Zea mays: one gene and its partner. The main gene of each other region encodes a partner of the protein of the gene in region 2 in a complex. Links are inferred from orthologs where the notes say so. Each region holds a gene or a part of one and is shown on either strand. Other genes may lie near its edges.

Region 1 (4,409 bases), on a different chromosome or scaffold from region 2:
CATTATCAGAGGGATCATGTATTGTTCTGCGTTACTATCAAATTCAAACAACTATTTCTCTAGTTCACCTCATCAAGAAGCTCAGTGCGTCCTTGCCCTGCCTCAACTGCAGCCAATGCTTTTTCATGGCAACCATGTTGAAGAAGCCAAGCAATATGATCTTCAGCATCTCTAATCAGAAGGTGCACACTATATTAATCATGGGATTATTTTTGGGAAAATTTTGCCACAGGACAGTCAAAACGATTTACTTTTACTGAAAGGTAATGGAAACTGATTTTTGCTGCTGGACACTACAAAATTGTGTATATTCACTGACAAGCATGGTTTAGTCACTTTGTGTCCTCCAGAAAATGTATGGAAAAGATCGATTCTTTCTAAAGTTTGCTGGAGGTCACTCATTAAATTTCAATTAATATAATATCCTCAAAGTGACAATCAGATAAAATTAGATATTGTAATTGGGGGTTGATATGAGCTCTTTCTTTGTAACAAACCTTGGCTTTGCAACGACTATGTCCTTAGGAGACACAATGTAATACAAAGGTTCATCACCAGCAGCCCACTGTCCACCTGCATTGCTACTTCCTGAATGACAGGACAAGAGAATCAGGGTTCCTTCATTAGAAAAGTTCTCATCAATAAGAAAAGAAATGCCACTGATGTTAGAGCACAATCAATTAAACCTGAGAAAGGTGCATGTGCAAGAGCATAGTCCTTTGCCTTGTAATGCTCATAACCATGAATAGGCAGAGCATCTGTAGTAAGCTCATCATTTTTCCATGATACAAGATGTATTTCTGGACGCTGTGCAGTTCCCTGCAAAATTTTAGAAACATAACAGGAACATCAATCTCAGAAGTCAGAAGCATTATTTTAGAAGCAAAGGTACATGGTATGCAATGCAGATGTAACAGACATTCAGAGATGTGATGATTACCTGTCGTGAAGTAACAGAAGTACTAAATGTTTTCTCTTTTTCATCCTCATCAGGAATATAGGCAAGTACGACTAAAAGGTCACCAAATGGAGCAACCCCAGATATGTGATAGCCTGTTTGGAATGAGCCCACAATGTCCACATACTTCTCAGAACTAGCTGTGGTGATAGTTCTTTGTAGGCCATTGAGTCCCTGAGATAGATCTGTTCGGATCGCTGCAATCTTGACACTTGTTCCCCATCCAACAACTAAGACTGTATCATCCTAAGCATGTATAGATCAGTTAACATAACATGTACTTTTTAAATCAAAATATAAGCTAGAAAATAATAAATTTAGAAGTCAGTCCTTGAGTCAGACACGCTAATAACATGAATGATTCCATATCAGCCAGAAAATAAAATGGCTATCATGCTCCTTTTACACGATTGAAAGTATGTCAATTCATTAGAAATAGAAGCATCATGTGTGTTTCTTTGTGTTTGTGCCCCTGGCTAATATCCTGTCTTCCGCATACTAAAGTTAAGAGCAAATATTTGACTTATTGCACATATCACCAAAACTTTCCACTTCACAAAATCCTTTGCTTTTGCACCCCTCTATTAATATTTTACTCATATGCTAACAAAATTGAAATGTACCAGTCGAGTATGTATAATCCATATACAGATATAAAGATATAATTACCTGCCAGACTAGGTGGGGAAGCAAGAACTCTGGTCGATGAATGCCTTTTGGTCTCTCTATGAATGCGATCCCTTTGTCTGTTCTCATATCATGCACTTTGACCCCTGCATCATTAGCCCAAGCAAGAAGATCCGCCCTCCACTTCATCGAATGGATTGGCCCTTCACCATCACGCAAAACCTACATAACCATCAAGCAAGAGATGTGCTAGCCATTAGAGGTCACTGGATGCATCAGATCTATTATCCTAAGGAAACCAAACTTACCTTCTTATGGTAACCTCCCCAAGACTTCTTTGTCAGCACAAGTACTTGGCCTGCTAAACCACCAGTAGCAAATCTTCTATAGTTCCGGGCATAATTAGGGTCTAGAGCAATTGCCTTCATGGGGCGATGGTACTCAAACTTTAGCTTTTCATCGGTGAAGAGGCTGTTTATTGCCACTGTGCCATCATCCGAGCAGCTGCCTATATATTCACCGTCTGCGTCAAAGCTTATGTCGTTGATAGTTGCTGTGTGCGCAGCAATTTCTTTCACCTACACAAAACGTAAAGCACAAATAGATGAAACTGATGCGTATCAGCATGCAAGTTTAGCATTCCTACAGATTGAATCTACATGGAGTGACAGTGTCATTTGATCACGTGCTTTAGTTTTGCATATCAACGTGTCATTCTTTGGCTCCACAACTTCCCCAACCATAGGTCCGGGGAATTTCAATCAGAACAATACTACAGTGGCGTGATCCTTGTTACCAGACCTATATGCATCACAGGATTTCAAGCTGCGAGTGACGAAGGAAGCTAGCAGAGCCTCCAGCAACCGTGTGAGCGTCTACAGCCAGGTCAGTTTCGGATTAATAAATCCGTCCAAACTCTATTGTTGAAGTGGCAAAAGTAGTTTTGACCCAGCAAGTATAGAGGAAGAAGCTCCAAGAGCAGTCCCAATGCCCCAGGATCCCGTCTCCCTCAACGCCACACCTTCGCCCGTTCCCATCACAAGCCCCAATTCCGCAGGGAGAGAGCGCCCTGTGGCGAGACGAAAAGGGTACCTGGTTGCCCTGGAAGTCGAGGATGTGGAGCGTGCCGTTGTGAGTGCCGAGCGCGACCATGCGGTCGGCGACGGCGATGGCGGCCGCGGCGTCGGTGGAGAGGATCGCCGGCACGCTCCCGCCTAGCCGCTGGTACTTGAGCCGCGGCTCCTCCTCGTCGTCGTCGTCCTCCTCCTCCTCCGCTTCGTCATCGCCCACTTCCTCCTCATCAACCTCCTCCTCGCGCTCGTCGTCGCCCTCCGCGCCGTTCTGCAGCGGCAGCGGCGGGCGGGCGCGCCGCGCGGGCGCGGTGGACATCCTCTCGCCGCCGGCCGGCCCGCGAGATCTCCCGTCCCGAGGCGATTTCCGGTGAAGCCGAGGGCCCGCGTGTAAGAACTGCCTTTGCCTCGGTGCTCGTCCATTGATGTGTCGTGAACGCCTGTAAAAACTAGTCCAGTGCATCGAGTGCGGCCGAGCCGGGTCCGGCTGGGCCGCTGGGCTGGTGATCGAGCCAGGCTAGCCACCCAGGAGAGCCACGCGCCGGGTGCGGGCCTTCGGCTCGTGGTCGTGGTGTGGGTGTGGCTGCTCGGCGCTGGCCGGGTCCGCGGTCGGGTCTCCATCGGTTTCGAGTGCTGGACCTGGACCGCGAAGGAGTGGGCACACGTGGGCCGCCTGGAGCTTCTGGCTCGGTGGATCGGATTGGAAGCCCAGCAATTAATAATGTCATGCCATCGTGGCATCGTCTCGCCGTTGACGTGGTTTCCTCACCGATGACGGCAGACAAGTAGTAAAAGCACTGATCCAGACGGTTATTTCAGTTTCGCCTGGCTGTTAGTAACAGTGAGAGCACCTCAAAAAAAACTCTTTAATTTTGACTCTTTATTTATCTCTATAAAGATTAAACTCTATATATAACATTTTATTTAATAGACTCTCTAACATGTAATTTAGCTTGGCTATCGAGAGTTGCTAGTTAAATTTAGCTAGTGATGGAGTTAATTTAGAGGATCGGATAGCTTGACAAATAAAATAGCTAATCCTTTGAAAAGCTATTTTGTTATTAGGTCGTTAAAATTTAGCTTGACAGGCTATTTAAATCTTTGTCTGACTGGCCGCTGCCGATGGATCGAGATGAGCCTGCGCGAAGGGAGCAGCGTCATCGGATCGCCTCCGACCGAGTCACGGCTCACGCACGCGTGCTATCTACCTTTTCCTTTCGGCGTCTCGCTGGCGATCCAGAGTTCTGGACGGCGGACGTGGACAACGACCAGCAGAAGGCGTCATGGAGGCACCGACCTGTTTGGACTGAAGGCAACAGCGCCATCAAGCCTCCTTTTATTTTTTTTCCCCAGCTTTTCATATGCAACCGATGACGGCTCTTGTCCACGGGATCAATGAGATGACACCACATGTCCGTAATGGCCGGCCCCGTCCCTGGCCCAGAGACACAGAGCAGTCACTTATTTAGTCTAGTACTACAAAATAAGTGATTGTTTACATCTCTAAGATATCTTTAGTTAAAGAAGTATTAACCAGGCTTTTAGGGGAAAAAAAGGCACTTTTAAGTATGTATGGTAGCATGAGTGTTATAAAGGATGTTTACAACTGCTTCACTTTGCCAGCTCCACTCTAAAATTTTAGCCACATAGGTTTAGCTCACGTGACGTAAAAAGGTTAGATTTACACAAACTCTATCCAATTTTAATGTCTCATCCTATACAAGGTCTCCTAACAACCTCTCTCAGTTTTAATC
Region 2 (3,819 bases):
AGGTCACAATAATTGAGTCCTTTCAACAACTCTATTGCCCCTGATGACTGCCCAGTAAGAATAAGAGCTTGAAGCAGACAAGTATCCAGTACAGTTGCCATTTCTCTAGCAATAGAGCTTGTATGTGTCTGAGCTCGTTTCTGAAAATAAAAGAGAAATTGATTGGTAAATAACTGATATATTGTTAAATTGCAACCATCTACACAATTGAAAGACACCATGCACACTAACAAGTAACAAGTTTACAGTGTCTCAGAAATTTTGGATGCAGTATCCTGACCCATGACCAAAATCTACAGCTATATTCCAGAAATGCAATCCATTATGGACCAAGTCCCAAGATAATTGAAAGTTGCCCAGTTTCTAGCTCAGGTTACCATATGTCCTTAATATTTCTAAGTATTCCAGTTTAACTCAGTTTAACTCCTACATAAACGAACCCATATAGCCGCTTACTTTCTTCCATTCTAAATTTACCCTGACCTAACTGTACAAGACACTGAAACACCCCCAACAAACCAATCTAGAGACCAAGGAACGAAACTTCCACACTTCTGTCAAAAAAAGAACCAAACAATTTTCTGTCTAGGGATCCTAAAATGAATTTGGTTGTAGAAAAGGCAAGCTGCAGTTCAAAGGTCAATAAACAAATAGCATTGAAGCAAACACCAATTCTAGTGTCAAGAATCATTCTCGGTCTCATATAAATATATGAAATGGGATATACTTATACTCCAAAAATCAGGTCATGTTAATATCTAGTCAGTTTCAAGTTCGTTCTACTATGTATATGTTTAAAAAAACTCGACCTGTGGGGGGTAAAACAGCCCTCTTGCATTGTATTAACTATTAAGAAGACCTTCATGCAGGTCGAGAAAAAATCCCGGACCCCTGCTCCACCCATACACAACGGCATTATAGCCCATATGAGAACGACCATGACCAGGGCCGGACCTTGGACCTACGTTTTGGTGTGGAATGGATGAGGGGATTTTTTTAGCCGTAGCTTGAAAATTTGATCCCATGGAGAGTCAAACCTAGGACCTGAGTAGTGCTACTCAAGACTCACTCAAGCGGTCAAGCCACCAAACCTACTCAGATAGAGACTCCATCACCTGTGCATATATTATTAGTTTTTGATCCATGCAATTCCACATCTGTCACCAATTTCTACTAGTTAACTTGCAGCAAGACCAAAACAGAACTTGAAAAGTCACTACCTTGCTCAGCTTCTTTGACTTATATGGCTCAGATAATTTTAAGCTGTGGTGAACAGCTCCAGAGACCACCTCCTCTGTTACTTCAGCCGTCGCTCTCTCAATTATGCCACTTCTTTTCTTCTGCAAATACTTCACAAGGGCAGCTAGAGCATTGTGACTCATTTTCTTTACCTCCAATGGAGATTTATCATCTGGTTCTTGAAGCTGTAAAGAGTATGATTCCATCTCATCTGTCACATCGGAGGATTCCCTTGCTAATTCTGGCATGTCCAGCAGCTTGTCATGATCACCTATAATATTTGTTTGAGGCAGAACAATAGATGGGTACAGAGATAACACGTAAGTAATGTCCACATGTGAATCTGAAAACTGTTCCATTGCCTCCTCATAACTCCCGTTATCGAACAAAAAGTGTCCATATCTAATCCACAAAATCAAAAGGAATAAAGGATAAGATATTAAGATGTCACTTAATTAGGTTAATAGAATCAAATGCATAATAACAAAATAATATGATGTTGGCTTCTAGTAGATTTGATGAATTAGTAGCTGAGATTAACGACGAATTCCCTTTGAAACGGACAGCATTTAATTTTTCAACCACTGTTCATAGTTGTTCACTTTGATGTGGTATAGTTTACAGAAATGCAAAGAACTATAGAATATGCATTTCCATGAGTGACCAAAATTGAGAATTTATGTTGACAGAAATATTAAGGTTTCAACCATATTTTTTCCATTTATTGAGTGTTAAGTATTGGCTGATAGAATGTTCATGGAAAATTCAGAATATCATGCTCTGACAGGCTTGGAACAGCTAGACGAAAGACGAAAAGGATATATACGTTGGAACTAGGGTTACGGAAGTAGTACGAGTGGTAGGTTTGGGGTCTAGGACTAGGACCCCAGCGCTTGGGTGCCGTCGTTCTAGGGTTAGGGCTGCTGGTTGGGAGAGGCGTGGCACTGTTCACGCTGATGAACAGCACCTCTGGATGAACAGTGCCGCGAGGATGAACAGTGTACGAACAGTAGATGTGTTGGGGAGGCCGGCCGCATTTTTTCCCCACGTATGGCAAGAGAGAAGGGATTTCCTTCTAATCTCTTGCTTGATCATAGATTGATACATCTCTCATTATATAGAGAGGTCTTACTTGGCCCCTACGTAAGCGACTAATTAACCCTAATGGGCTAAGGCCAATAGGCCCTTGACTCCTTTAACATTACACCCCACTTGGACATGCAGCTCGTCCTCGAGCTGCAACCTAAAGATGACGCTAATGATGACTCCCCTAGACAAAAACCTAACACTTAAAAGTAAGCCTTTTACATCTCAGCTAATTTTGTTATTCCGAACCTGAATTCAATGTTCAAAAAAGCGCGATTAAGCGCCCGCCTAATCACGATTAGACGCTAAGCGGCATGTTAGCGCTGCGCTTAGGCCCTGGGCGGTGGTTTCCGCGGTGGGCGCGTGTAGGCGGCGCGTGATTTGCGCTATGCGCGCTGAGGCGGAAAGGAGGCGTGTGGAAGCGGGGTTCGGCGCGCGGGGAAAAGGTGAGCACGGAAGCTGCTGCGCGGGAATAGAAAAAAGCTGCTGCGCGGGAATAGAAAGTGAATAGGAGGGAAAGAGGTGGGAGCTGCTGTTGCCCGGGAGAGAGTGAAACAGGCTGGGAGCTGCAGCTGCTGTTGCATGGAAGAGGAGGAAAACAGGGCCGCTGTCAGACTGGTCCTCTTCCCCAGCCGTCCAGGGCCGCCACCATCGGTGTCCTCTTCCCCTTCTGGTCAAGTCGTCCAGGCCACCGGGGTCAGCGCCTCTCTGCTCCTTTTCCCTAGCTATCCAGGCGTGCTCTCCCTCTCCCTCTTCCTCTCCCTCTCCCTCTGCTCTTGCTCTACTCCATCTCTTTTGTTCTATACTTTTATTCATTATTCCAGGTAAGTACCCCTAATTCCTAACTAAAACTGTTTTTTCTGTGCAAATATATATATTATATTGTATATTCCTACAAACGCTTAAGCACGATTAATCTACGCCTAAGCTCTCTAGGCGCTAAACAGTGGCCTAACGCCCGCCTAACGCCTAGCGCTTATTGTAACCTTGCCTGAATTAGGCTGTGACTCCTTATTTTTGAAGCCTTAAGATAAGGCGGACACCTCCGCGCATTGGATATGCATGTGTGCAGCCACCTGGATCCCATGGACGCCATCTGGACGAAAGGGGAACACGTGGATGGCCACCTGGAATGGGTCGCAACAATGACTAGCGGAGGTGCCCTCGTGGCGGCCGGTAGAGGAATGTGGTGGCGCTAGGCAGTGCGCCCTCGTCGATGACAAGGAGGGGAGCGCCTTCCCTACCGCCGTTGCCGTAGAATTGGAGTTCGTCGCCCGCGGGACACGCACCATGCTCGCGCTTGGAGACAACGGCCCAAAGCGGTTGCTGATGGCCATCCGACAGGGTGAGGCCGCGTCCCCTTGTGCTGAGGTCGACCGCCACCAAGGCTGTCTCGAGCATCTGTCGGTGCACCTCTTGCAGCCGCCGACACACTAGGAGGTCACGTGCGGCAGCCTGGAGCCGCACCGCCGCAGACACCTTGCAGGCACTCGC

The links.
Region 1: Vacuolar sorting protein 39 (region 2) and Vacuolar protein sorting-associated protein 41 homolog share a complex: the UniProt entries of both Arabidopsis thaliana proteins name them as parts of the homotypic fusion and vacuole protein sorting (HOPS) complex. The link is inferred for Zea mays from reciprocal best matches to the Arabidopsis thaliana genes EMB2754 and VPS41.

The regions. Positions count from the first base shown.
Region 1 is NC_050097.1:2,313,026-2,317,434, reverse strand, and holds the start of Vacuolar protein sorting-associated protein 41 homolog, read right to left. Parts: upstream 3,035-4,409; 5' UTR 2,975-3,034; coding exon 2,678-2,974; intron 2,164-2,677; coding exon 1,894-2,163; intron 1,808-1,893; coding exon 1,628-1,807; intron 1,205-1,627; coding exon 941-1,204; intron 820-940; coding exon 687-819; intron 589-686; coding exon 498-588; intron 172-497; coding exon 69-171; intron 1-68. UniProt on the Arabidopsis thaliana protein: Required for vacuolar assembly and vacuolar traffic.
Region 2 is NC_050096.1:275,113,060-275,116,878, forward strand, and holds part of Vacuolar sorting protein 39, read right to left. Parts: intron 1,642-3,819; coding exon 1,221-1,641; intron 141-1,220; coding exon 1-140. UniProt on the Arabidopsis thaliana protein: Essential protein required during embryogenesis. Believed to act in part as a component of the putative HOPS endosomal tethering complex. HOPS is required for the central vacuole formation.